Linked DNA regions of Arabidopsis thaliana. The protein of the gene in region 4 purifies or fractionates together with the protein of the main gene of each other region. This does not show direct contact. Each region holds a gene or a part of one and is shown on either strand. Other genes may lie near its edges. The genes, in order: FKBP53, GYRA, FIB1 and NOP56.

Region 1 (5,508 bases), on a different chromosome or scaffold from region 4:
TGAACATCACATAAGGTTTTGTAAACAGAGGCATAATTGATAATTACATTTGCAAACTCTAAAGTTCACAATCATAGTCCATCAAATACTTAGGAGCCGAACATCAAAAATGAGAAATTCCAATTCTAAAAACATTAAGATATCAGAAACCAGAGGCCCGCCGTAGAGATTGCCATTGCGACGGAGAATAATGGTGACGTATGGTGGATCATCAATGTTACAAAAATAAAAAAATAAAAACGGGTCAAAAGGTCAGAAATAACAGTAAAAAAGAACTTGCAGAACAAGAAATAGGTCAAAGTCTTTCTGACGGTACAAAAATGACAAATTCGTCACGGTGATGATGGTGACGTAACTGTACCTGAGAGTAGAGAGACCTTGATTAGAGACTAGTGAGAGAGACTTTCCACAAATGAATCATTGAATACTAACTAATGAAGAAGAAACTATAATCACTTTATTTACACCAAAAAAAAGGGGTATTATTTACATTATTCAATTGAACGGATTCACGAGTCGGGGTTGTCGTTGCTATAAAATCTGGCTTAAAGTTGATTGGCCCCTTTTTGGGTTCAAGTCCATCTACTATGTAAACAGCATTTGTATGATTCCAATTTTTGGTTTTTAAGCAAGTGTAAAATAGGCCAACAAAAGCTATCTGGAAGAGGAAATCTGGGAAACAAATGCTATGGTCTTATCACTTGAAACACAAATCCATTTTTCAAAAAGATTCAAGTGTTAAAAAGGAAAGAAACAATCTTTTGCAGCTACAACACCATTCAGAAACCCCTCATCAGAGATTCTATGAATTCAGGGCAGTTTTATTGAACATTAATCAGTTCGACATCAAAAGTCAGCCAAGAATTAGGAGGAATCTGGCCACCAGCACCCTTCACACCATACCTGGGAGCCAAACAATATTATCATCCCATTAAAAAGGTTTAACAAAACATTGCTAATTCAAAATAACATAAATCAAAATGAGTTTACTTACCCCATTGATGGAGGAATTGTAAGCTTCCTTTTGTCACCAACGCGCATGCCTGTGGAATTCAAAAACTTGAGATGAATACAACACGATTCACTTTTTGAACAAAGTTATAAGTAAAAAAACAGTAAGAAATTAAGATATATACCATTAACTCCAACATCCCATCCCTTAATGACTGATCCAATACCTACACGTTACAATAAGAACATAAAGTATCACTTACACCAGCAATACACTGTAATTCTCAACCAATTTCCCAAGCTATTATCTTTGAATCTAGTTATAATACCAACCTAGACGAAACTTAAATGGTGATTTTCCAATGTTGGAATCGAAAATCTTCCCATTCTTCTGAAGTTTTCCAATATAGCGCACAGAAACCTGCACTCAGAGACAATAGAATGAGCTCCAAAAAGATTTGGGAAAACACACAAATACATTGATGCACTCTAATAGGATTTTGGATTCAAACCAAGTTCACAAAGACAATTAGCCAGAGTTAACCACAACTTAAGGGTTTGAGTGTTTGTAGGTTTTACAAGCCATTAGTTTGTTCACTTCCTATTTAATGTATATTCTTTGGTGCTCTTAGGTCTAAGTCTAACAAGGTATTACTTTGCTCACTTTCTATCTAGTGTCAATTCTTTCAACACCCACATTCTTATCACACTACCACCTTGTTGCATAATCTATATGAGATTGCAGTAACCATATGATATTATGTGTGCAATTTATGACTTTAAGTGTGCATACCGTTTTTCCAGGATCAGCTCTCTTGCCGTTGGGTTTTCCCATGCTCAACTCTTCAACAATGAGCCCATTTGGGTATGTCCGTACTTGAGAAGACTTGGAGTCCGCTGGGGTTTGCTTCTCAACAGTACCAGAAATTTCTGCAGCTTCGTCACTTGGTTTCTTCTTTTTCTTATTTTTAGTTTTCTTCTCAGCAGATTTATCTGGGGTCTTGGAGCTTTCACTCCTGCAATAATACCATAAAAAAGCACAGACTTTTGTTAGGAGAAAAAGTTTGAAAGAACCGCTGTATACTCATAAGCGTTTTTTACTTTGTGATCTATGTGAGTAATAATTCAAATACTTACTTACTGATATTTCACAAATGACATAAACACAATCTGTTATCACCAAAAAAGTTCTCAAATCAAGAAATAAGAGTTCTCACATGGCATTGTTTGCAGTTCCATCTTGAGCTTTTGTGTTTGAAGAAATTTGGCTAATATCCTGCTTCTTCAGAACATTTCCCGTCTGAACTTGTCCAGCTTCCTCATTTAAGACATTTTCCCCTTTCTTCTTCTCTTTCTGATTTTTCTTCTTTTTACTCTTGTTTGCACTGGAACAGATTTTAGAAACAACTTCGTATCCCCACGATATATAAAATATGTGAACTCTGTCCTCAGAGTCAATAGAGAGCAAAGAGAGTAGTACCTTTCTTGTCCATCATCTTGCTCAGCAGCCTTGGCCTTCCGTTTCTTGTTACTACCTTGTTCGTCATTATCTACAACCATCTTCTCACCTGACGCATTCTCTACTTCAGATGATTTTCCTTTAGGAATAGGTAAACCGTCTTCGTCTTCATCTTCGCTTTCCAAAACTGGAACATGGGCACCCTCTATGGCAACGATTTGTTTCTTTGCATTCTCACCTTCGCTAGCTTGACTCTTCTTCTTGGTTTGTTTTGCCTTATTATCTTTGGCAGGTTTCTCTTCATCTTCTATCTCCTCAATTATAACTAGCAAAGATATCATTCAGATTAGTTTTAACAGAACAAGGAAAGATCAATCATATAAACTATTAACACAAATGTAGAACAGGATCAGCACCAAGGAGACACACTTGTACAAAAGCTTAAATTTACGGACATACATTTGAAAAGTCTTTTATCAATATCTTTTTGAAACCTTCTAGTTATAAGACAAGAGTGACGAATCAAGCAATCACACTAAGCTAAAATGGAAGTACTAAGATGCAATCTGATAAGGATCTCTGTAAGAAAAAGTACCTCCACTCTTTGGGGCAGCAGCATTCCGATACCTTTCAAGATTGCTATCAAGGAAGTCTTCAAATTCATCCAATTGCTCATCCTCTTCACTATCATATTCACACGAATCGTCTTCCTCAGACTCACCAACATCAATACCATCTCTATAATATAGTCGCAATGAAAACATTAAGATTTCTAAACAGATGGAATAATAGAAAAACAAGAAAGCATTATTTGCTAAAGTAAACTAGTAACAATGAAAGGATACGAATCATCTTCATCATGCTCATAATCATCTTCATCGTCCTGATAATACTCCAAGAATCCAGACAAGTGGATACTTCTGTCACCAGTCACGGTGAATTCCACTGGCTCATCATCATCGTCAAACTCAAGATTCAGAGGGCAACATTCGATTTTGTTTGGCAACAATGAACACAAAGCAATAGGAGCCTTGTCTCCTATTGAACACTGAATCACACTCTTTTCTTTGCTCAAACCCGTACCTAGAGTTGCCTGAATGATGGCAAAACATACATACATCAATAGATATATCAAACATATTCAGATTCCAAAACTAGACTACACAAATATACAATTCATATCCCAAATCAGCTCGAAGGAACAAGAGTATAGTACCTGGGTCACGTGAATCTTTCCTTGTTCATTTTTTGGATTATAAGCTTGAGGCTTCCCAGGTTTCACTTCAAGTCCTGCATATGTTAACAACACAAAATCAGAACCTAGGAATCATGCTCCGGGAAAATCAAAGAAAACACTGAGCAGAGAAAACTAACCCCAGAATCCCATTTTCTCAGCTAGGTTACTCCTTGGAATCGAAGCGGCAACTTTGTTTCTACAGACTAAAACCCTAATCGAAGGTTTTTAGCAGACGAGCTTTATATCGAGATTAAAGCGGTTTCGAGAAATTTCGACAATTTGTGCAACCGCGCTCTCAGTTTGGGCCTTAACAGACTTTGAAATTCAATGAAGCCCCAATGAAGCCCCAATGAAGCCCATATATTGGTCTGTCATAAATCGTAAAGTAAATGGTATTGTCAAGATACTCTTCATATTTGATAACATTTAATTTGTGTTCATTATTTTACTAGAGTTAATTTGAAAAAAAAATCTATAATTTTCTCTCATGTAAACGCAAATTCAGAAATTTTGTTTTAAATAAAACAATATGAGACCTATCTTTCAACAAAACAATACAATATTGAGACCTAAACACACTGTACAATGACGTGAGTTTCTATCTTTCTTGTCAAAATCTGAAGTAAGTGTACAAAGTAATGTCTTTTTGTTGTATGTAACCAAGTTAGTTAAGTGTTTGTATCTCTTGTTACCAAGGAACGAAGAGATTTCCACTTGATTTCTCCATAATTCTACCATCGCTTAGGTCTGACCCTGAGAGTGAGCCAGCCTCGAGTTGGCTCTCTGAAGAATACAGCGGAGAGGCAAAGCTCGATCGTTACAGTTGTATACCGGAACAGCGGTGAAAAGTTTAGTTGTTGTTTAGGTAATTTTGTGAAACCAAGTATTTTCTTGTTAAGCTAATTGTTATGATGATCTCCATCTTCTTCGTAGTTGAACGGTAACGGGACAGTTTTGAACGCCCTGTATCTCCCAACGTTGTTCAAATGCTCATTCTCCAGCCTAATCAACAATTACATTTCATTAGTTTTGTGTAGATTCATGCATGAAAACACCATCTTCTCAGTCTCGGAGCTTACCTAAAGAAGTTCCAGATACCTCTGCGTATGATCTCAAGGCAAGCCATAAGCGCGACCATAGTTTCTCTATGCAAGAAAGAGAATTTCAGATCCAAAACTGTTTGCAACCACACTAACCTCAACAAAACATTCAGGACCTGCCAAGTACATGAAGCAACAATCTTCACCATATATGTATAAAGAAAAAACAAAAACAGAGGTTATTGCTGTTTTCTGTTTGCTCTCACCATTGCAGCGTAGTACACGGTTTTGTGAGGAACAAGAAGCTTGTCTCTCAAGAAACTATTCTTACATCCTCTTTGAAGCAATCCCCAGTCAAGAACAATGTCCCAGTAAGTTCCGTAAAACGTTGCAACTCCTGAGAAAACCCAAGCTGTGATATTCCAGTTGCTTCCTCGGTTTAGAGTATAAGCTGTTCTAAGAGAAGCAGCAACGATGGTCAAAAGGTATTTGATGCCATTGTAGCCATGACTCAGATCTCTGTCTTCCACCATTCTTCGGATGCACTGAAGAAACCGTAACCAGTAAGGTATAACGGCGACGATGAAGTAGAATGTTCTGAATCCAATATTTGATGTGCAGGTGTTTCGTCGTCTATATCTGAAATCTCCAAAACCATAGTAGCATATGTAGAACTCTAGACTCCTCAGTGCTTGAACCTAGCATTGATTGTTTAAATCAGAAATCATCGATCAAAATAAGTATGAAGCTATCTTATCGAGTATAGATTTTCTCGAACCTGGCTTGTTAGTTGATCTCCCAAGAAAAAGTCCGGAAGATGC
Region 2 (7,541 bases), on a different chromosome or scaffold from region 4:
ATCTTCCGACTTCTCTTCCATATCTTTCCGCAGAGATGCAGGTATGATGTCCATGCTCGCTATCTTATCCTCATTCTTGAGTCTCATGGCAGTCACTCCCTTTGTATTTCTGCTCAGTGTGCGAACCTAAACAAACAAAAGCCATCAGAGTTTGCTCAAGTATTAAAAGGTTTACATGAAAGATGAATCATTTAGAAAAAATGAGAGCCACAACTTACACCATCACATGTACTCAAGGCGACCATTCCATTTTGGGATGCCATGGCTACAAGATCGTCGCTTGAGCAACAACGAACCCATTTCAGTTCATCACCAGAATTCTGAAGACAAATAATTTTGTTAGAGTAACCTTGTTAAGAAGACTTCCTATATGACTAAGAAGAAAAAGGGGACAAACCAACTGAATTGCTATGATTCCAGTTGAGCGTATTCCTGAAAATAATTTCAAAGATACTTTCTTGATGCAGCCATTCACTGTAAGCATCAGGAGGTAGCGATCTTCAGCAAACTCGCTAACAGGAACAATGGAGGTTACTCTTTCACCTTCCGACATGGATAATATCTGCTTCCACAAGTCACATGAACACAGCAAAACATTAGCCTTTCATAAAATTGAATAATTTTTGACATAGCAGAAGGAAAACATAGATACACAGATATGTAATTACCTGAACCAAAGGTGTACCAGCTGCATTGCGAGAGCATTCTGGAATTTTATATGCACGGGTTGAGTAAACTATACCCCGGTCACTGAATGTACAACAAGTATAAGCAATGAATTACAACAAGGCAGAAAATTAATATCCATGTGCGTAGCAAACACAAAGGAAATTTTGAGGTATACATACCTGAAAAAGAGGACATGGTCATGTGCATGACAAACAAGAAAGTCAGACATTGCATCATCAACTCTTAGTTTCCCAACAGATTTGCCAATTGTTCCACGATGCTGAAGATTGAATGTATCGGCCTTCATTCTCTTCACATAGCCCTTTTCGCTGACTGCCTATAGTCATCCATATCAAAAGTTACAAAACAAACAACAAAAATTTCAACGTTGAGAAACTTTCTAGGTTTAAGTATGCAACATACCATCAGCATCTCTTCATTTGGAATAACATCTATATCTTCTAGATCACCACTGTCAGAATCCTCCAACATTGAACGCCTGGGACTTGAGAATCTGTCCTTCAGCTCTATTGCTTCTTGTTCGATTAACTAAAGAAAAATACAAGAAAAACAACGAAGAGAATAAAGTAGTAAGTAATATACAATGAAGTAAACGAAGCAAATAGTTCAATTTTGGTCTACAAGAAAATCATCATGTATCAGTTATCTTCCTAACATTGGCCCAGAACAGCAACATATAGTAAGCAGCTTTACAGATATAAAAATAAGTACCAAACAAGAAATGGAAGAAGCATTTGAATCCTTATACCACATCATAATGCATGGACTAGATTTTGAACCTCAGTGGACTCAAACAGTCAAGCTTACAAATTTGGAGTACATATATTGATGCATCTATCATTCTACTAGCATCTAGGTGTTCTAAATTTCTAATATCAATAGCCAAAAGAACAGATAACTAAAAAGTGAGTGTGTCACCTTTAGGATGTTTGTTCGGGTTGATAATAGCTGCTCCAACTTTGTAATTTGCTCTGTTAGTGAACTACTTTCATCAGTAAACTTTTTCCGCTGCATTTATGAAGGGAGAATCTAGTTAGAACATTGTCAAGCCTACAAGTTTCATAAATTGAACTTAGCGAGAATAAGAAAGCACCTCAAGAGCAGTTAGCCTTCGAAGAGTTATCTCCAGTATAGCCTCAGCTTGTTTCTCAGAAAGACCATATTCTACATAAGTAAATGTTTGACAAGTGTTAATTTTAATATATGGTATCGTCCCTTACAATAGAGACTTACAAAGCATAAATCCCTAAGAAATCTTTGCAATTAAGATCAAATCTTACAACGAATGAGACTCCAGCAGTTCCAGATAAAAAGACAAGAAATATATAATGTTCAAATGTAATATGGAAGAGTTCACCACAAGATGTATTCTTTTAATAGTGTACATCCTAGACTACATCTATCAGTCCACCTAAGAAAAATTGGCTCTAGTCTACTTTTTGACTCCTAATTCTCGCTCACTTTTCCGAATTCTGTTTATACATCAACCTATAATGTGCAGTTCAAGATTGTTACATTGATTATATTGTCAAAGTAAAATATAGCTCACCACTTTGTAAAGCAGCAGTAGCAGAGGAATGACTTGAGGCCTTCGTGATGAGTTCGATTACTTCGTCCACATTGTCAAGCCCAACCACAATACCCTAAGCATATATACAGTGAAGATATTAGAAAAAATGCTTTACATCATTACATCATGGTCTTCACGAGCAGATTTAAGAAAGTTAAATATTTCTAGTCGCACCTCAATAATATGCTTTCGTTGTTGTGCATGTGAAAGCTTGAATCTTGCACGCCTTTCGACGACAGAACACCTGAAATCTATAAATGCCTACACACAAGCAAGAAACAGAAAGTAATCAACAAATTTACTTTAAAATGTGATTACAGTAGCACAGAAGTAAATATCCTATCTCTGATCTTCACTTTTCTATTACTCCTTGTGGGCTACGTAGATAAATGATTTACATAGACAAGTGGTCACCTGAAGTAGTTCTTTTAATCCCATTAGCTTGGGTTCTCCATCGCAGATACTGTAAAACACAGAATACCATAATCCAGTTACGATAAAGAAAAACGCATATGTGAATACATGATCCTTAATATATTTACAAGCATAACATACTCATTAGAGAATTTTCAACTAGTCATCCTGGAAAATGCCCAAGTTCTTTTATATGCCCACTCTTCAAAAAAGTACAGGAAATAAGAAGTTATCGGTTGATGCAACTCACCCCACCATGTTGCAGCTGAAGCTTGATTGAAGGGCAGTATGCCGGTAAAGATTATTAAGCACAAGTGCAGGATCCCCTCCTCTTTTGAGCTATAGAGAAGTATTGGAAATTATCTTAATTACCTTCCAATATGAAATTTTAAAGCAGACTAATACATCTAAGTGCAGAGGAAACAGTGTAATACCTCAATAACCACACGCATCCCATTACGATCACTCTCGTCACGTATGTCACTTATGCCCTCTAGCGTCTGAAAACAAACACCAACATCAATGAATAAAGAAGAAACTTTGCAAGCATATAAGGACATACTAGAAATGTAACACACCTCTGAGTAAAATAAGTACATATTGCTAAGTGAAGCAAAATAAACATTAGATGTCGCAAGTTTAGTTGTACCTTATTTTCAACAAGTTCGGCAATCTTCTGGACAAGTGTAGCTTTGTTTGTCTGGTAAGGAATCTGCAATAAAGTCACACTAAAGGCATTACTCTACTGCTAATAAACATTTTTGAAACCCTCATCCATGGAGATCTGAACATTAATCTAAAAAACTAAATTGATCACCTCTGTGATAATAACTGCATTCCGCTTTGTCTTTGGATCCAACAATTCAACTTCAGCTTTTCCTCTAACTACAACTCGCCCTCGGCCAGTTCGGTAAGCATCCAAAACCCTTGAAAGCGCAAACACACATTAGAAAATTATAAGAATCCAACATTGTAAAAGGAAATGGCATATGAATGCAAACTATTTTTTTAATAAAGGTATTCAACAAACTCGAGAGTAAATGTACTACACAACATATAAGCTTTCAGAATATTAAAAAATCACTCACACCATCAGAAAAAAACATGATGATTCAAAAACTGCATATGACAGACAAATAAAGGAAAACTATTAACTGGACCATCCTCTTCACTCATTTTCTAGGTTCCTTTTAAGATATAGGTACAGCTTCTGTAATCTGTTAGAATCATAGATCAAAACAAAACAAAATGCTTTTCTATTTCCATAAAAAAAAAGTTTCACACTTTAGAAGTGAGTCTTTCTATTTGATCCTATAGATAGCCTACTCTCAAAAAATTAGCAAACGAGGTGGGCAAACAAAAGTCATTAATGTATAAGATCCCTTTGGGGAGAAATTGGAAAGCAAAGAGTTACCCAAGGTTTCCCATTATTATTCCTCCAGTTGGAAAATCCGGTGCAGGCATGTATTCCAGCAGTTCTTGCAGCTGCCCAGACGAAGAAGAAAGTGGAAACAAAATCTTATGAGTTGTCTACTTATAAAACAGAGGATTTTTCATGTAAAACAAAAGACCCACAAATTGATAAATCACAGAAAAACAAAGGGGAGATGAGTGATACCGTTGCTTCTGGATTATGGATTAAAGCGCAAAGCACGTCTACCAACTCCCCAAGATTATGAGGGGGAATATTTGTTGCCATGCCAACCTAAACAATGTGAAATGATCAAGATTCAACTGCATATTCAATCTCATACAGCAGGGAAAATCTGCACAAGATTAACTGAAGAAATCTCGAACAAAATCTATTAAGGAGTTCAGATTTAAGATTTGTTTGATTATTTTACCGCAATCCCAGAAGCTCCATTCAACAACAAAGCAGGAAGACGAGCAGGCAACACTGCTGGTTCTTTTTGTGAGTTATCAAAATTGGCCACAAAATCCACCTGCCAAAACAAAAGAGGTTAAGGACCATCTAGTTGAGTATCGGTAAACTTGGCAACAAATTAATAGTGAGGTTACCGTATCTTGATCCAGATCAGACAATAGTACTGCCTCTGCCAGTGGCTGCAGAAAAAAAATAAGTACAATCAGCTGAAAACACTGACAAAAATACATGTTCATCTCAAGACAAGAGAAAAAGTAGAGATGAGAGATACACTATAGATAGCAAAGACAAGTGAAACAACTAGAAAAAGTGAATTGCAGGGAAAACCATTTCAACTAGAAGGGAAAGTAAGGTAAAAGGCACTCACATCGAGTCTGCATTCAGTGTAACGCATAGCAGCAGGAGGATCTGCATCTATTGAGCCAAAATTTCCATGGCCTTGGATAAGTGGACATCTCAAGGAGAAACTCTGCCAAAAAAACAAAGGTATTAAAACAAAAAAGTCAGAAGTTTGGGAAGAATCGAATCGTGCCTGAAACATTATTTGAGGACTGGACTACATTCCATGAATTCAGATATTTACCTGAGCCATCCTAACAAGAGAATCATAAACAGCAGTATCTCCATGCGGATGGAATTTACCAAGAACCTGAAAACCCAAAGAATTCAACAGCACAAATCGTTCTTCAGAATAAGATATTTAGAGAAATCGACTGAGAAAACACTTTCCAAAAATCAATAATATACCTCTCCAACAACTCTTGCACATTTCTTGTATGGTTTTTTAGATGACATCCCCAACTCATGCATTGCAAAGCTGGAAGACAAAATAATCGAACATTAGAAGGAACAATACCACTGACTAAGCTTAAAAATATCAGTAGCTTTGAGCCGAACGAAAGTCACTCAACAGAATTCTCCGATGTACTGGTTTTAGTCCGTCTCTAACATCAGGCAAAGCACGTCCAAGCAAAACAGAGAGCGCATACGACATATACGACTCAGTAGCTTCCTTATGTAGCTCAAAAGGCACAATACGAGATTCGTCCCCAGAAACAACCAAACCGCCATTGTTAGCTCCGGACTCTTCCTTGACCTGCTCATCTCCGCGCTTACCAGCACCGACAACGAATTTGCCGGACCGAGGAGTACGGGAGGAGAAGAAACGCGTGGCGGAGGGTTCAGTGCGGCGGAGACGGCATAATGGGTCGGTGAGGGGGAATCGGAAGAAGGAGCGGCGAAGAAGGGAGGAAGAGAGACGGAGAGTGGAGGAGAGAGACATGAGAGAGTTAGGGTTAGGGATTGAAGCAGTGGAATGGCATAATACTGGAGTCATGCCCAGAGGGTTTTAGGGATTTTTACAAGTACAAATGGATTAAAGTGCTAAAACCCTAGAGAGCCACACCGGAGAATTTCTCAGGCGCGAATTTCAATACTTTGGCGGGGGTCTTTGTGTCCAAACAAAAAACTAATCTGTATCTCTATTTGAGATATACACTATTTTATACAAACAAGATTATAATAACTAACTTTCGATTTCAATTTCTAATTTCATACTTGTATAGTGTCTTTGTTAGATCAATTACAGAACTAAATTCACCAATTGTTGAAAATTTAACAAATTTATGGAGAAATGTTAGTCACATTTTTGAAGTTTGCGATTCTTCTATCGACTCGAAAACGGTAGAGAATGATTTACATTATGTATTTGTAGCAAAAAAAATGTATCAAGCAATGATGAAACTCCGACCAAAGAGACCAGAGAATTTCTCAGACAGGATCAAAAAGAGATAAACAAGCAAAGAATCAATAAGCGTGAGAGATATAAGGGACAAAAAAATCGAGTTTAAGTGGGGAAGAAACCAAAAACTCCAGGATTGATCAGAGAAGAACACGAGCAGCGTCACCTGCTTCACAGATGAGAACAGGTTTTCCTCCATTTAGATTGTTAGCAAACTCGGGTTGGGCCTTTTCATATTCATCCTTCACATATGAAGCAGCTGCCTCAGCTTTTTCTGCATCTACAAAGGCTAGACAACATCCCCTGAAACCTGCACCGCTGAATCTAGCTCCATATACACCAGGAGCCTTCAGAAGAATCTTGTATAGCTGGATCAGTGGCTCCGCACCTTCACAAAACTCACAGAATTTAAAACCAAAATAATGAATCTAAGAGAGAATAATGTCTGTAAGCATACTAGTGGTCTGTATTCACTATAGGATATGTTGCATTTGGGAGAGAAGAAAAGAGAGTGTAATGTACCGCATTCGTAATTCTCAATGGAACTCAAGCCGGATGCTGAAATTAGCTTTCCAAATTCTTCAAGATTCCCTGAAGCCCAGGCTTCCCGTCCTGAAATTTAAGAACAAACATTCATAAAAGTCCGTTAAGCATCATAAAGAGCTTAATGAATCATTCATGCACATAAAGAGACATCTACAAGAATTCAAGAACATTTGCCTTTGATAACTCGCATGTTCTCCGAGAAATAATGCTCTGCTCTTTTAGCTAAAACCGGTTTCAGCTCATGCTGCACGAACAAGTATTATTGTATTACATATTTACATAGGCCTGATATAGGTGGAACCTGTTTTACCAAAAGCTTAAGAATCTTATTTTCTTACCTTGTGAGCTTCATAGACCGCATGCTCAACTATTCAGTGGGACAGTTAGAGACATGGCAACAAAGAAAAACTAATCAGCATGCAACGAATAAGTTAAAGTCCACACTTAAAGTTTTTTTACCATTGCACAACGTAGGTTCCAGCTCACTGTTCCCAGATGCACTGAAAAGAAAAAGTAAATCAAGAGAAGGGTGTGAATCTTGTGATGCAGAAAAATGAGTATCACAAGCAATAGAGAAATAAACTTTGCAGCATTTCCACTGAAATTTAAATCTAAATAAGCGAAAATGTAGATAAATATGAATCAAACAGATTTGCACATACGTCAAAAGAACTTTTGCTGCCTCTTGACACTCA
Region 3 (4,971 bases), on a different chromosome or scaffold from region 4:
GCTAAACCGCCTCTTTTACTTAAGTTCGGATGATGATGATCATGATGCCATAGCAATTGCAGAAAGCATGCCTAAACTACGCCATCTCCAGCTTTGTGGGAACAAACTAACCAAAACAGGCTTAAACGCCATTCTTGACGGTTGTCCTCACCTGGAACACCTCGATTTACGCCAATGTATCAACCTTGTCGGGAATCTAGAGAAGCGTTGTTTTGAGAAAATTAAAGATTTGAGACGCCACAATGATTCTACCTCTGCTGATTACCCGTTTTCTTTTGAAACTTACTATTTTCATTGGTCACGCCAATTGGCAATACTTAAAAATGCGCTACCGATGGAAGAAGGCGCCTATAACTTTGATCCAATAGTGGAAGAAGCCGAATATTACTTGAAACTGTATTGAGACTTATGTCAATAACACTTAGTCGGTTTGTTTGTGTTTAAAATTTTATTAACCAAAAAAAAATGAGTTCCTTTCAGAGCTAAGTGATACTTTTACGCCTTTTCTTGAGCATAATCATGTTCAAAACAAACTACTTCAACAATCAATTCAGCATGCAGAAACAAGTAGGATTAAAATGGACAGTAGTTCTTATAGCCAAGCAAAAACAAGCATAGAAAAGACTGATGGAGATACAATCATTGGACGAAAATGTTGCATCAATATATATTAGTTCTAAAACGAGGATAAAATTTTCCAAATGAGACATAAAAGCATTATCCATCTCTAGCTTAATACAACAAGCAAGGAGATAAAAACAAAACCCAGTAAATAAGTCTTAATACACAGGCACTACTGTCCACAGTTCCTCTATGAGGCTGGGGTCTTTTGTTTCTTCGGCATGCGGTAACCACCAACAACACAGGCATGGTCACGCTCAAACGGCTCGAGAGTCACCTGTTCTGCTGGCTTAAACTGCTCTTGTTGCAGCTTCTTCACCTCGCTCTGGAAGACTGCTTCTGCTGCAACTGTAGAGTCGATACAGTTGGCCTGAACAGATGAGACATGTTTATTTAGCGACGGAAATACAAATTGAATAATAACAGAGGAGAACATTGTTGAATTTGATTAAGGATAAGAGCACTGACCTTGATTGAGATAACAAAGTGTCCACCAGTTTTGAGGAAAAATGAGGCATTCAGGGCCAAGATTCTTGCCTTCAAGAGTTAGGCAAATAGATGGATTCAATTAAATAAAACATAAACAGAGAACCAAAATGAGAATAAAGAGAGACATTAACATAAACATAGAAACATTTATGGAATCATTGCAGATTTCTTGGAGCAATCTCTGCTAGCTCAGCAATATTGCTACAACAATTGAGTCTCCAAGTTTAGTAATAAAGTAAAACTTCTAAATGACTTGAAAATGCAATTGTTGAAAACCAGAAGAAACCGAAAAGACTTCTTCCAAATCGATAAGATATACCAAATGAAGACAAATAAAAACTTTGAGATTAAAACAGATTTGCATGTTCAAAGTAAAAAATTTTAGTAAAAAGATACAAAGTAGCATCAGAAGCTTGGAGTTTGCAACACCCATAAATGTTCTGAAGGGGAATCCAAGTAAAATCATCATCTGCCGATTTCATTGTACTGATTTTTTTAAAAGCAAAAGATGCAATGCAATAAAAAAAAACTTTGAAGATATAACTGTAAAATAAAAAGGCTTCAAACATTTCATAGTAAATGAAATGTCATCATATGCCGATTTCAATGAACTGATATTTTAAAAGCAAAAGATGCAATGCAATATGACGTAACCTTTGTGAATAAAACTGTAGAAAGGGTAACTTCAAACTTTCATAGTAAGAAATATAGAACCAAACCTGATCTGGCTGAGCAACATCAGAGAATATGACATCAACCATGCCCACGAGCATTCTGTACTTAGCCGGATGTCTAGCATCTTCAATGATTGGAATAACGTTAGTTCTCTTCTTGGCCATGTTCACCAAATCTCTACCACTTCTATGAGAAAACTCAACAGCATAAACACATCCCTCCTACAAATCATAAAGCAATAGAACAAAGATAAGTCTCAAACATAGGATAGAAATGGACCTACGGATAACTAAAATAATAATTTAGTGAAAGACTTACAGGGCCAACGAGGTCAGAAACATGAGAGACAGTGGTCCCAGAAGCAGCACCCAAGTAAAGAACTTTGGCACCAGGTTTCTACAAAAGTTTTAACAAAGAACCAATTCAAGCACATGTCTTTCAATACAAAAAAAGAAAACAGAGTCAATGTGGTATGTGTATAGATGGACTTACGATCCAAATGTTGTCGACACCACCAAGAATTGCAGCAGCTAACTTAGATCTAAACGGATTCCAAACTCTGTATTCAACCTTAGTTCCATCTTCATTCTGCAAAAGTGAAGTAGCTATAATATAAGAACAAAAACAAACTCAATTTAATTATAAAGAAAACAATCCTCAAACTTCATACCTGAACAGAGATTCTCTTCTCATTGTAAACAGCTTCACCAGGAACCAAATTCTTAGTGACAAGAGCATCTTCTTTACCCTTAGCAATAAACACTCCCGCATGTCTGTGAGGCTCAACAATCACTTTGCTTCCTCCTTTCATTCCTCCACGAGGTGGTCCTCCACGACCACGAGGCGCACCACGTCCTCTGCCGCGAGGCCCACTACGGCCTCTGTCACCACTACGGCCTCCTCCAAAGCTTCTTCCACCTCCAAAACCTCTTCCACCACCATCTCTTCCACCTCTGAATCCTCCACCACCACGTCCTCCTGATTATAACAATACCAACATACAGAAAATTAACTAAACGGAAGAACAGAGTGTTATTAAAAATCTCTACTTTTATCTTTGAACTTTATTGAAACAGTGAAGATACAAAAGGCTCATGAATTAAAACCCTAACTACCAATTCAAACTACAGAAACCGTAATGATACGAATTCAGATTTGATACGGACAGGGTTATACTCTAGAGGCAGACAGAACAAGAAAGACATAAACTTTAACTAAGGTTCTTACCTGTAACTGGGGGTCTCATATTTGCTTGTCTAAAAGTGAAGAACGAAAGACGAGAACCGAAAAAAAACGAGGGCAAAGGAGAGAGATGTGCGGTGGTGGCTGATTTTAGAGTCTCTGTGAGTTGGTTTATATATTAAGATTTTAGGGCTTTTAGGGTTTATGCTTTGGTAACATTTCTTGTATTTTATAAATAGGCCCTTCTATTATATATATCTTAACTACATTAGTCTACTACATTGGTAACGATGGGTCCAAACTCCAAAGTATGGAGTTGGGTTTGATCCGGATTGGGTCAAGATAATAATGGGCCGATTTTATTGGCCCAAAGTGGGTTTGTTTATGTCTCACGGAAAAGATAAGTTAGGGTTTTATTTTTGTGAGACAAGAAGAGTTAGTTATTCACTTATTCTCAATTTCTCATAGAGAAATTACGAATATATCTAAGGTTCTCGATCATCTAAAGTTTTTAGGGTTCGACTTGCTCCTCCTCGTCTCTGCTTACCTATATTTGAAATCTTTATCACAAACTCAGCTAGCTATTACATCACTAATGGCCGAACGTTGTCAAAGAATTGATGAAGAGGTTGTTGCTTCTAGAGACGAGATCAGTTCGTTGCCCGACGATTTGCTTATCCAGATTTTGTTGCTTGTACCGATCAAAGATGCAGTTGGGACAATGATATTGTCAAAACGATGGCGTTATGTCTGGACGTTGTTGCCTAAACTCGAGTACAGTGATCCTGGTGATGAATGCGAAAGCGTGTGGAAGTTTCTTGAAAAGTTATTGGAACTTCACAAGGCACCTTTTCTAGAAACTTTGTGCATCCAACTCGGTAAAAATTTTCTATTGAGGTAGATGTTGGGAAATTAGTTGCAAATGCAGTTGATCGCTTTGTGCGCAAGCTAGAGTTAGAGCTCCACTGGACGGCAGAGCCTACCAGCTTGCCTAAGAGTCTTTACACATGCAAAACACTTGTGGAATTGACTCTTTCGGACAAGATTATAGTGGATGTTCCTTCTTCGGTTTGCCTCCCGTCACTCAACATATTACGCCTTTTTTATGTGGTGTTCAAAGATGAAAATTCTCTAGAGAGGCTTATATCAAGTTGCTCAGTTCTTGCCCGATCGAAAGTGGGCCTCGCCATCAGTGATAACCGGGACTACCGTTTCGCGAAGGTGCATAAGCTTCGCCTTGAAAAGCCACATATCGACGTTGTATGTCATACTGATGACAAGTTTCTCAAAGCTATTTCCTTGGTCACGTATCTTGTGTTACCTTTGGAAGATCCAATGGTATCTATCCTTTTTATTATTATTGTTTTTTTTCTTCTTGGCTGTTAGGTTTGATCACATTGATTTATATTGGCTTTTGATTTAGTCATTGAAGGCTCTGGATTTTCGTGGCTTTACCTTCACTCGACTTGGAAAATTAGTGATATGTCCACATGGCCATCTCTGGTTGGATATAATTCCACTAATTCTCAACAACTCTCCTAAACTAAGATTTCTTGCTATCACTTCTGTAAGTAACAAGTAACAACGCAATCTCCTTGTTGTATAAACTGATTCTTTGATTCCACCTCATAGATTTTTATGTACTTGCATCCAGGTAAGTGGATATCGACCCGGAAATCTCCCATTGTCATGGTACCAACCAAGGTACTGTTCCCAGATGCTTGTCGGCTCATTTAGATGAGGAGTTTGTGTGGCATGGATATAGAGGAAACGAAGAAGAGACACAGCTCATAAGATACATTTTTGCTAATGCAAAGTGTTTAAAGAAAGTGACAGTCACATCTATATGGGAACATTTTCAATCTTCAATCTTGAAGAGAGAGATATCAACCTTCCATCTTGAAGAGAGAGAGGTGATAGAAACGGTCTTAAAGTCTATGCCTAGAGTTTCAACAACGTCTACGCTTGTGTTTAAATGAAGAATGTATATTCTCTTACCATTTG
Region 4 (4,777 bases):
AGGGAAAACTTGCTTGGTGATGATATCGAGACGAGAGTCGAGACAGTGTATGATGATCTCGGCGATGCCAACACGGTCTGCATGAACGGAGGTTGGGTCGGATTCAAGACATTGCATGCAAATGGTCGGAACTTGTGCATTATGGCATTCCTCTTTCATCAGGTCCTTCTCGGCGCAAATCGGAGAGATCACGAGCAGAGCTAACAGGAGAAACTTGATCATTATCGTCATTATGCGAAGTATATTTCCTATGATTGATTATGTTATATTTCTTTGAGGGGTGTGAATTTCTTATTTGTACTAAGAATATGGGACTGGGAATGTGGTTGGTCACGAGTTTATCTATCCTTCTCAAAAGGAGGTAGCTCTATTGTTTACTTACACAAGTTTTAACATCTATTCAATTTTACCTTTTGTTAATGTTAACTGACCATTCAAACGCGAGCTGCTCTTCTTCTATTACTCCATTTGGGTAAAATAATAAATCATATGGCTCCAAATTCATTTTCACAAACTTGTTAAGCTAGTTTTCCAATTTGGTAGTTAGTTTAGCTATTATTGAAACATTTGCAAAGCACTGGAATTGGTAATTGTATTTTATAAAATGGAGGAGCCTCCTTCACGGTTGCAAACGTCAAAATAGTGAAAACCTAAACAAACTTAAGATATTGCCAAACCTTGAATCGTTTCCAGACCAAAACAAAAATTCTCCGATGTTCACTACGAAAAACAGACGACATTAATTTAGCTCAAAAAAAAAATACAATACAGGGTTTGTTAATGTTGCATCCCTTTCTATTCAGCGCTCTTAGACTTCTTCTTCTTCTTCTTGGTGCTGTGACCATCATCAGTCTCCTCTTCTCCTCCAGCTTTACTCTTCTTTGTCTTCTTCTTCTCTGATTTCTCGTTCTCCTCTGCAGTCTCCATCTTCCTCTTCTCTTTCTTCTTCTTTTTCTCTGACTTGTCCTCCTCCATTGCCACCACCTCTTCTTCTTCTTCACCCTTTGCCTTCTTCTTCTTGCTTTTCTTCACCGAGGCATCAACTGGCTCCTTCCCTTCCTCTTCTAAAGGAGGAACAGATAAAAAAACACTGAGTTTGCCATCATAAAGAGGACTCTGATTACAACCAAAAAAAAACAGCTACAAGAAATACCTTGCTTTAGATTCTCTATCACCTCCTTCATTACATCCACGTTCTTGCGTGGGGCAACACCTTTGTCATAAAATTCTAGCCTTTCCTCAACTTGTTCGCGAAGCTTCTCACCAAAAGCAGTAGTTGCACCATCTGCATAGGACATCAGGGCACATAATTTAACACTTTCACAACAGAATTCATAATCCAAAACTCTTCTTCAAGGAGTTTCAGATTTTTACCAGCAAAACAATCAATCCGGGATGCTATAGAGCACTTGTTTGCAAGATAACGAGCGATACGGCCCTTGTTCTTAGCAGATGCTCGGCCAATGAAGGAAGAATGGAAAATCAATCCATACTTGGGAGTGTTTCCACGTGTTTTAAGTGCCCTGAAATACCACAGCAGTTCATGTCACAAGCAGCACTAAAAGGAAACTGGTGAACATTAAAAATATAGTGCCAGATATTGCACCTGAAAAGAGCCTTCTCGGCTCCAAGAATCTGGAGGGTGGAAGATGGGCATTTAGCAAGGTTAGTCAGACTTCCAGCATGTGAAATCAAACGGGCACCGACCATTTCTCCAATCAAAGCAGCCAAATTAGGGGCAATGTCGCTCATCTTAGTGACAAGATAATCATAGAGCTTCTTCCTGTAGTCAGCAAGGTCCATAACTTTCTGAGCAAAGGTCTGTACGTTGATTAAGTCAAGCGGTGATAAATCCGAGCCTGCCAATAGGGAAGAGAGTAAATGTCTCAGGACATAAGTTAACAGAAACACACATTAACTCAAAGCTACCAAAAAAGTCAGCTCAAAATTTTTACCCATGGATGCTTTTCCAGCTTCGATGACCTCCTTTGCCTTATCTTCATCCCCTAAGACTTCAGTAAGCATGGGGATGTGATCTTCAGTCAACTTTGACTTGTCATCAATCATCTTTGAAACACGGGCGTAAAGATAGTTGTCATTGACTATCTTCACTAGTTCGGGGAAGTGCCACGAATACCATTCCCTGTAATAACATTATAAACAGTTCAGCTACCAATTTTCTCGAGGAAAACACACAATCTGAAAGGGAAAAGCACAAAACAAACCTGACTCTCATGGCAAAGGAATTGATATCCTTATCAAGCGTGTCAAGCATGAAGATAGCTTGAATAACCATGTTATCCACTCGGTTAACATTGAACTTCACCTTGGCTCTGCTGTAGCTGTGAGCTAATCCAAGCTGAGATTTTTCAAGATCACCAGGCTACATAAACAGAAATTTTTTATGAGAACACAAACCATATGAGATAAGCAAACAGACAAAAAGATTTTAAACACATAGAAAGGAGATCACACCTTTAAGTCCTTGATAAACCTATCAAAATGCTGGCGAACACCTCTGAGAAGCTCAAGAACAAACTCATTGCTCTGGCATGGGATTTTAGTAGCTTCAAATATATGTGAACCGAGTTTAGGCTCAGCCAATCCTAAACTGAACTTGGGTTTCTTTCCCTCCTTGACCTTAGGAAGATTCAACTCCAGAAAACTTCTAAGCTCATCAGTCATAACACCTACCAATATCACATTAAAACCAATTCCAAAAGCATCAATGACAAAACCAAAACAATGAAACAAAAACAGAACACAAAAACAAGAATCAACCATAAATTAAAGCTCTTTCTACAATATATCCAGGAAATTTGAACTATAAGGTTTTAAATCGAAGTGTCTACTCTAGCTCTAAATACAAGAACAAGCTACTCAACACAACACATGAATATACAGAACAAAGAATAAGAAGAGAGTAATGAAGAGTCTGACCTTCAGAGACGGCGTTGACTTGGTTGAGAGCATCGAGAGCAGACTCAAAGGGATGAAACGCTGTGAGCTGAACAACACGGCCAAAGCGACTGAGGTCGGAGACAGAAGTCCGAACCGCCTCAGTGTTCTGTCCGATCTCATCTAGTCCGTGAACCTCGAAGAGACCATAGCCGGAAGAAGACTCGTAGATAACATACATCGCCATTTTTTGAGGAGAAGAAACTAAAACCCTAAAGACCTACTGAGCGAGAAGAAATATACAACGAACGAAACTAGGGTTTCAGGGGTTTAATAAGCGCATCTGTTGATGGCGCTGCTCTTGAAAAATTCAATGGGCCAGGCCCATTTAACGGTGTGTTAGTTGTACTAGCTTATAAAATGCCCGGCCCATCACAACAGGTTAACTTTCTTTTTTTTTTTTTTTTTTTTTTTTTTTGGTCATCCTTGCAAGATATCAAAAGTTTGTTACAAAAATTGAAAAATTGTCAACTAAAATATTATTATTGAATGAAAGTGAAATCTGTTTCTCCACATCCTTATATAGAAGAAAATTGTCAACTTCCATATACAAGCATATCAAATTATAGAGGGGACAATCTTCATCTTCCCTCCTTGATCTTGAATCCAACCATTGGCTTCGATTCGCCGTCTCTAAGTGGCATCTCCGGGCCAGGCGCTATAAAGCTCGTCGAGAAGCTAGTGTCTTTCGTTTGAAAGTTGCTGAATGAGGAGCTTGTGGTGTCATCAAATGTACAGTCGGTTAGGTAGCCTGGCTTAGAGGTGGCATCATTGACCTCAGCATCTCCTGACAACATGGCTACTACTCGTGACATTGGTGGTCTCAACGCATAAGATGACTGAGTGCAAAGCAGAGCAATGCCAATCATGCGTTTCACTTCTTCCATGTTGTATTCACTTAGCTCATCATCTATTAGTTCAACGTCACGGTTTTTCTCGTGTAGATTCCATGCCTGTATACAAGAAATACAAAAGGATTATCGGCTTTTGTCATTTATCACACCATCTTCAACTTCGCCTATATGACAAATATAGACGTACCCATTCAAGAAGATATTTTTTTCCCTCTTCCAGGTTCTCATCAGAGTTTTTCCTTCCACTCACTAGCTCAAGAGCCACAACACCAAAGGCATACACATCTGTTTTCTCTGTTAGATGTCCACGCATGGCATACTCTGGCGCAAGATACCCACTGCATTGATACAACTAACATGAGCTATAAAGCCATAATTGTGTTGCAAACAAAATGTCAGGGTCTATGGATTTTGCTTACATCGTCCCTGCCACTCTGGTACTAATATGGGTTTTCTTGTCATCATATAGTTTTGCAAGCCCAAAATCAGAAACTTTTGGGACCAGTTCAGAGTCCAGTAAAATGTTGCTGGCCTTCACATCTCTGTGTATTATGCGAACACTTGCTTCCTCGTGGAGATAAACTAGACCTCTGGCTACTCCCAGACATATCTCATAACGGGTTGACCAATCAAGATGCAAACTCTTATCCCCTGTAACATCCAACCCAATGGCATAATGATTACTTTAGCTTGGCAGAAGCAGAGATAGGTAAGTCATGTTTCTGTTCATTACCAAATAATGCCTGATCGAGACTTCCATTAGGGAGATACTCATATACGAGCAAACGATGATCTCCTTCAAAGCAGCACCCGTAAAGTTTTACTAGGTTGCGATGTAGAACTGAAGAAATTGCAATAATTTCTGCAACAAATTGTCCCTTCCCTTGCCGTGATCCAATTGACAACTGCTTCACCGCCACCTCTCTTCCATCATTGAGGTTTCCCTGTTGAACGTGTTATTCAAA

Evidence for each region.
Region 1: the proteins of NOP56 (region 4) and FKBP53 fractionate together in Arabidopsis thaliana (co-fractionation; one large-scale study listed by BioGRID). This does not show direct contact.
Region 2: the proteins of NOP56 (region 4) and GYRA fractionate together in Arabidopsis thaliana (co-fractionation; one large-scale study listed by BioGRID). This does not show direct contact.
Region 3: the proteins of NOP56 (region 4) and FIB1 fractionate together in Arabidopsis thaliana (co-fractionation; one large-scale study listed by BioGRID). This does not show direct contact.

Annotation. Positions count from the first base shown.
Region 1 is NC_003075.7:12,958,836-12,964,343, forward strand, and holds FKBP53 (FK506 BINDING PROTEIN 53), read right to left. Parts: upstream 3,937-5,508; 5' UTR 3,798-3,936; coding exon 3,785-3,797; intron 3,701-3,784; coding exon 3,627-3,700; intron 3,504-3,626; coding exon 3,256-3,503; intron 3,149-3,255; coding exon 3,006-3,148; intron 2,736-3,005; coding exon 2,432-2,735; intron 2,337-2,431; coding exon 2,169-2,336; intron 1,968-2,168; coding exon 1,745-1,967; intron 1,373-1,744; coding exon 1,285-1,372; intron 1,179-1,284; coding exon 1,137-1,178; intron 1,060-1,136; coding exon of another isoform or gene 1,044-1,059; coding exon 995-1,043; intron 904-994; coding exon 822-903; 3' UTR 514-821; downstream 1-513. Other genes in the region: SHB1 (EXS (ERD1/XPR1/SYG1) family protein), read right to left, coding at 4,547-4,649, 4,727-4,863, 4,954-5,385, 5,466-5,508. UniProt on the Arabidopsis thaliana protein: PPIases accelerate the folding of proteins. It catalyzes the cis-trans isomerization of proline imidic peptide bonds in oligopeptides. Histone chaperone possibly involved in H3/H4 deposition to the nucleosome.
Region 2 is NC_003074.8:3,340,349-3,347,889, forward strand, and holds the start of GYRA (DNA GYRASE A), read right to left. Parts: upstream 6,013-7,541; 5' UTR 5,896-6,012; coding exon 5,471-5,895; intron 5,377-5,470; coding exon 5,307-5,376; intron 5,209-5,306; coding exon 5,143-5,208; intron 5,029-5,142; coding exon 4,927-5,028; intron 4,739-4,926; coding exon 4,694-4,738; intron 4,618-4,693; coding exon 4,519-4,617; intron 4,380-4,518; coding exon 4,293-4,379; intron 4,160-4,292; coding exon 4,089-4,159; intron 3,601-4,088; coding exon 3,492-3,600; intron 3,387-3,491; coding exon 3,324-3,386; intron 3,175-3,323; coding exon 3,109-3,174; intron 3,014-3,108; coding exon 2,925-3,013; intron 2,724-2,924; coding exon 2,675-2,723; intron 2,522-2,674; coding exon 2,435-2,521; intron 2,334-2,434; coding exon 2,240-2,333; intron 1,855-2,239; coding exon 1,784-1,854; intron 1,699-1,783; coding exon 1,609-1,698; intron 1,219-1,608; coding exon 1,093-1,218; intron 1,007-1,092; coding exon 849-1,006; intron 751-848; and 7 more. Other genes in the region: GalAK (galacturonic acid kinase), read right to left, coding at 6,441-6,688, 6,823-6,912, 7,021-7,090, 7,185-7,213, 7,306-7,346, 7,509-7,541. UniProt on the Arabidopsis thaliana protein: A type II topoisomerase that negatively supercoils closed circular double-stranded DNA in an ATP-dependent manner.
Region 3 is NC_003076.8:21,292,350-21,297,320, reverse strand, and holds FIB1 (fibrillarin 1), read right to left. Parts: upstream 3,175-4,971; 5' UTR 3,032-3,174; coding exon 3,013-3,031; intron 2,764-3,012; coding exon 2,456-2,763; intron 2,374-2,455; coding exon 2,278-2,373; intron 2,182-2,277; coding exon 2,104-2,181; intron 2,007-2,103; coding exon 1,830-2,006; intron 1,586-1,829; exon of another isoform or gene 1,512-1,585; intron 1,159-1,511; coding exon 1,090-1,158; intron 992-1,089; coding exon 812-991; 3' UTR 502-811; downstream 1-501. Other genes in the region: AT5G52480 (RNI-like superfamily protein), read left to right, coding at 1-403; EDA41 (FBD, F-box and Leucine Rich Repeat domains containing protein), read left to right, coding at 3,563-3,772, 3,865-4,305, 4,400-4,538, 4,627-4,946. UniProt on the Arabidopsis thaliana protein: S-adenosyl-L-methionine-dependent methyltransferase that has the ability to methylate both RNAs and proteins. Involved in pre-rRNA processing.
Region 4 is NC_003070.9:20,983,749-20,988,525, forward strand, and holds NOP56 (NOP56-like pre RNA processing ribonucleoprotein), read right to left. Parts: upstream 3,205-4,777; 5' UTR 3,146-3,204; coding exon 2,941-3,145; intron 2,691-2,940; coding exon 2,476-2,690; intron 2,384-2,475; coding exon 2,226-2,383; intron 2,144-2,225; coding exon 1,956-2,143; intron 1,860-1,955; coding exon 1,607-1,859; intron 1,524-1,606; coding exon 1,375-1,523; intron 1,286-1,374; coding exon 1,154-1,285; intron 1,065-1,153; coding exon 796-1,064; 3' UTR 655-795; coding exon of another isoform or gene 611-654; 3' UTR 587-610; coding exon of another isoform or gene 553-586; 3' UTR 525-552; downstream 1-524. Other genes in the region: AT1G56100 (Plant invertase/pectin methylesterase inhibitor superfamily protein), read right to left, coding at 10-231; AT1G56105 (uncharacterized protein), read left to right, coding at 1-134, 163-239, 306-361, 553-586, 611-654; AT1G56120 (Leucine-rich repeat transmembrane protein kinase), read right to left, coding at 3,540-3,911, 4,000-4,150, 4,232-4,463, 4,546-4,756.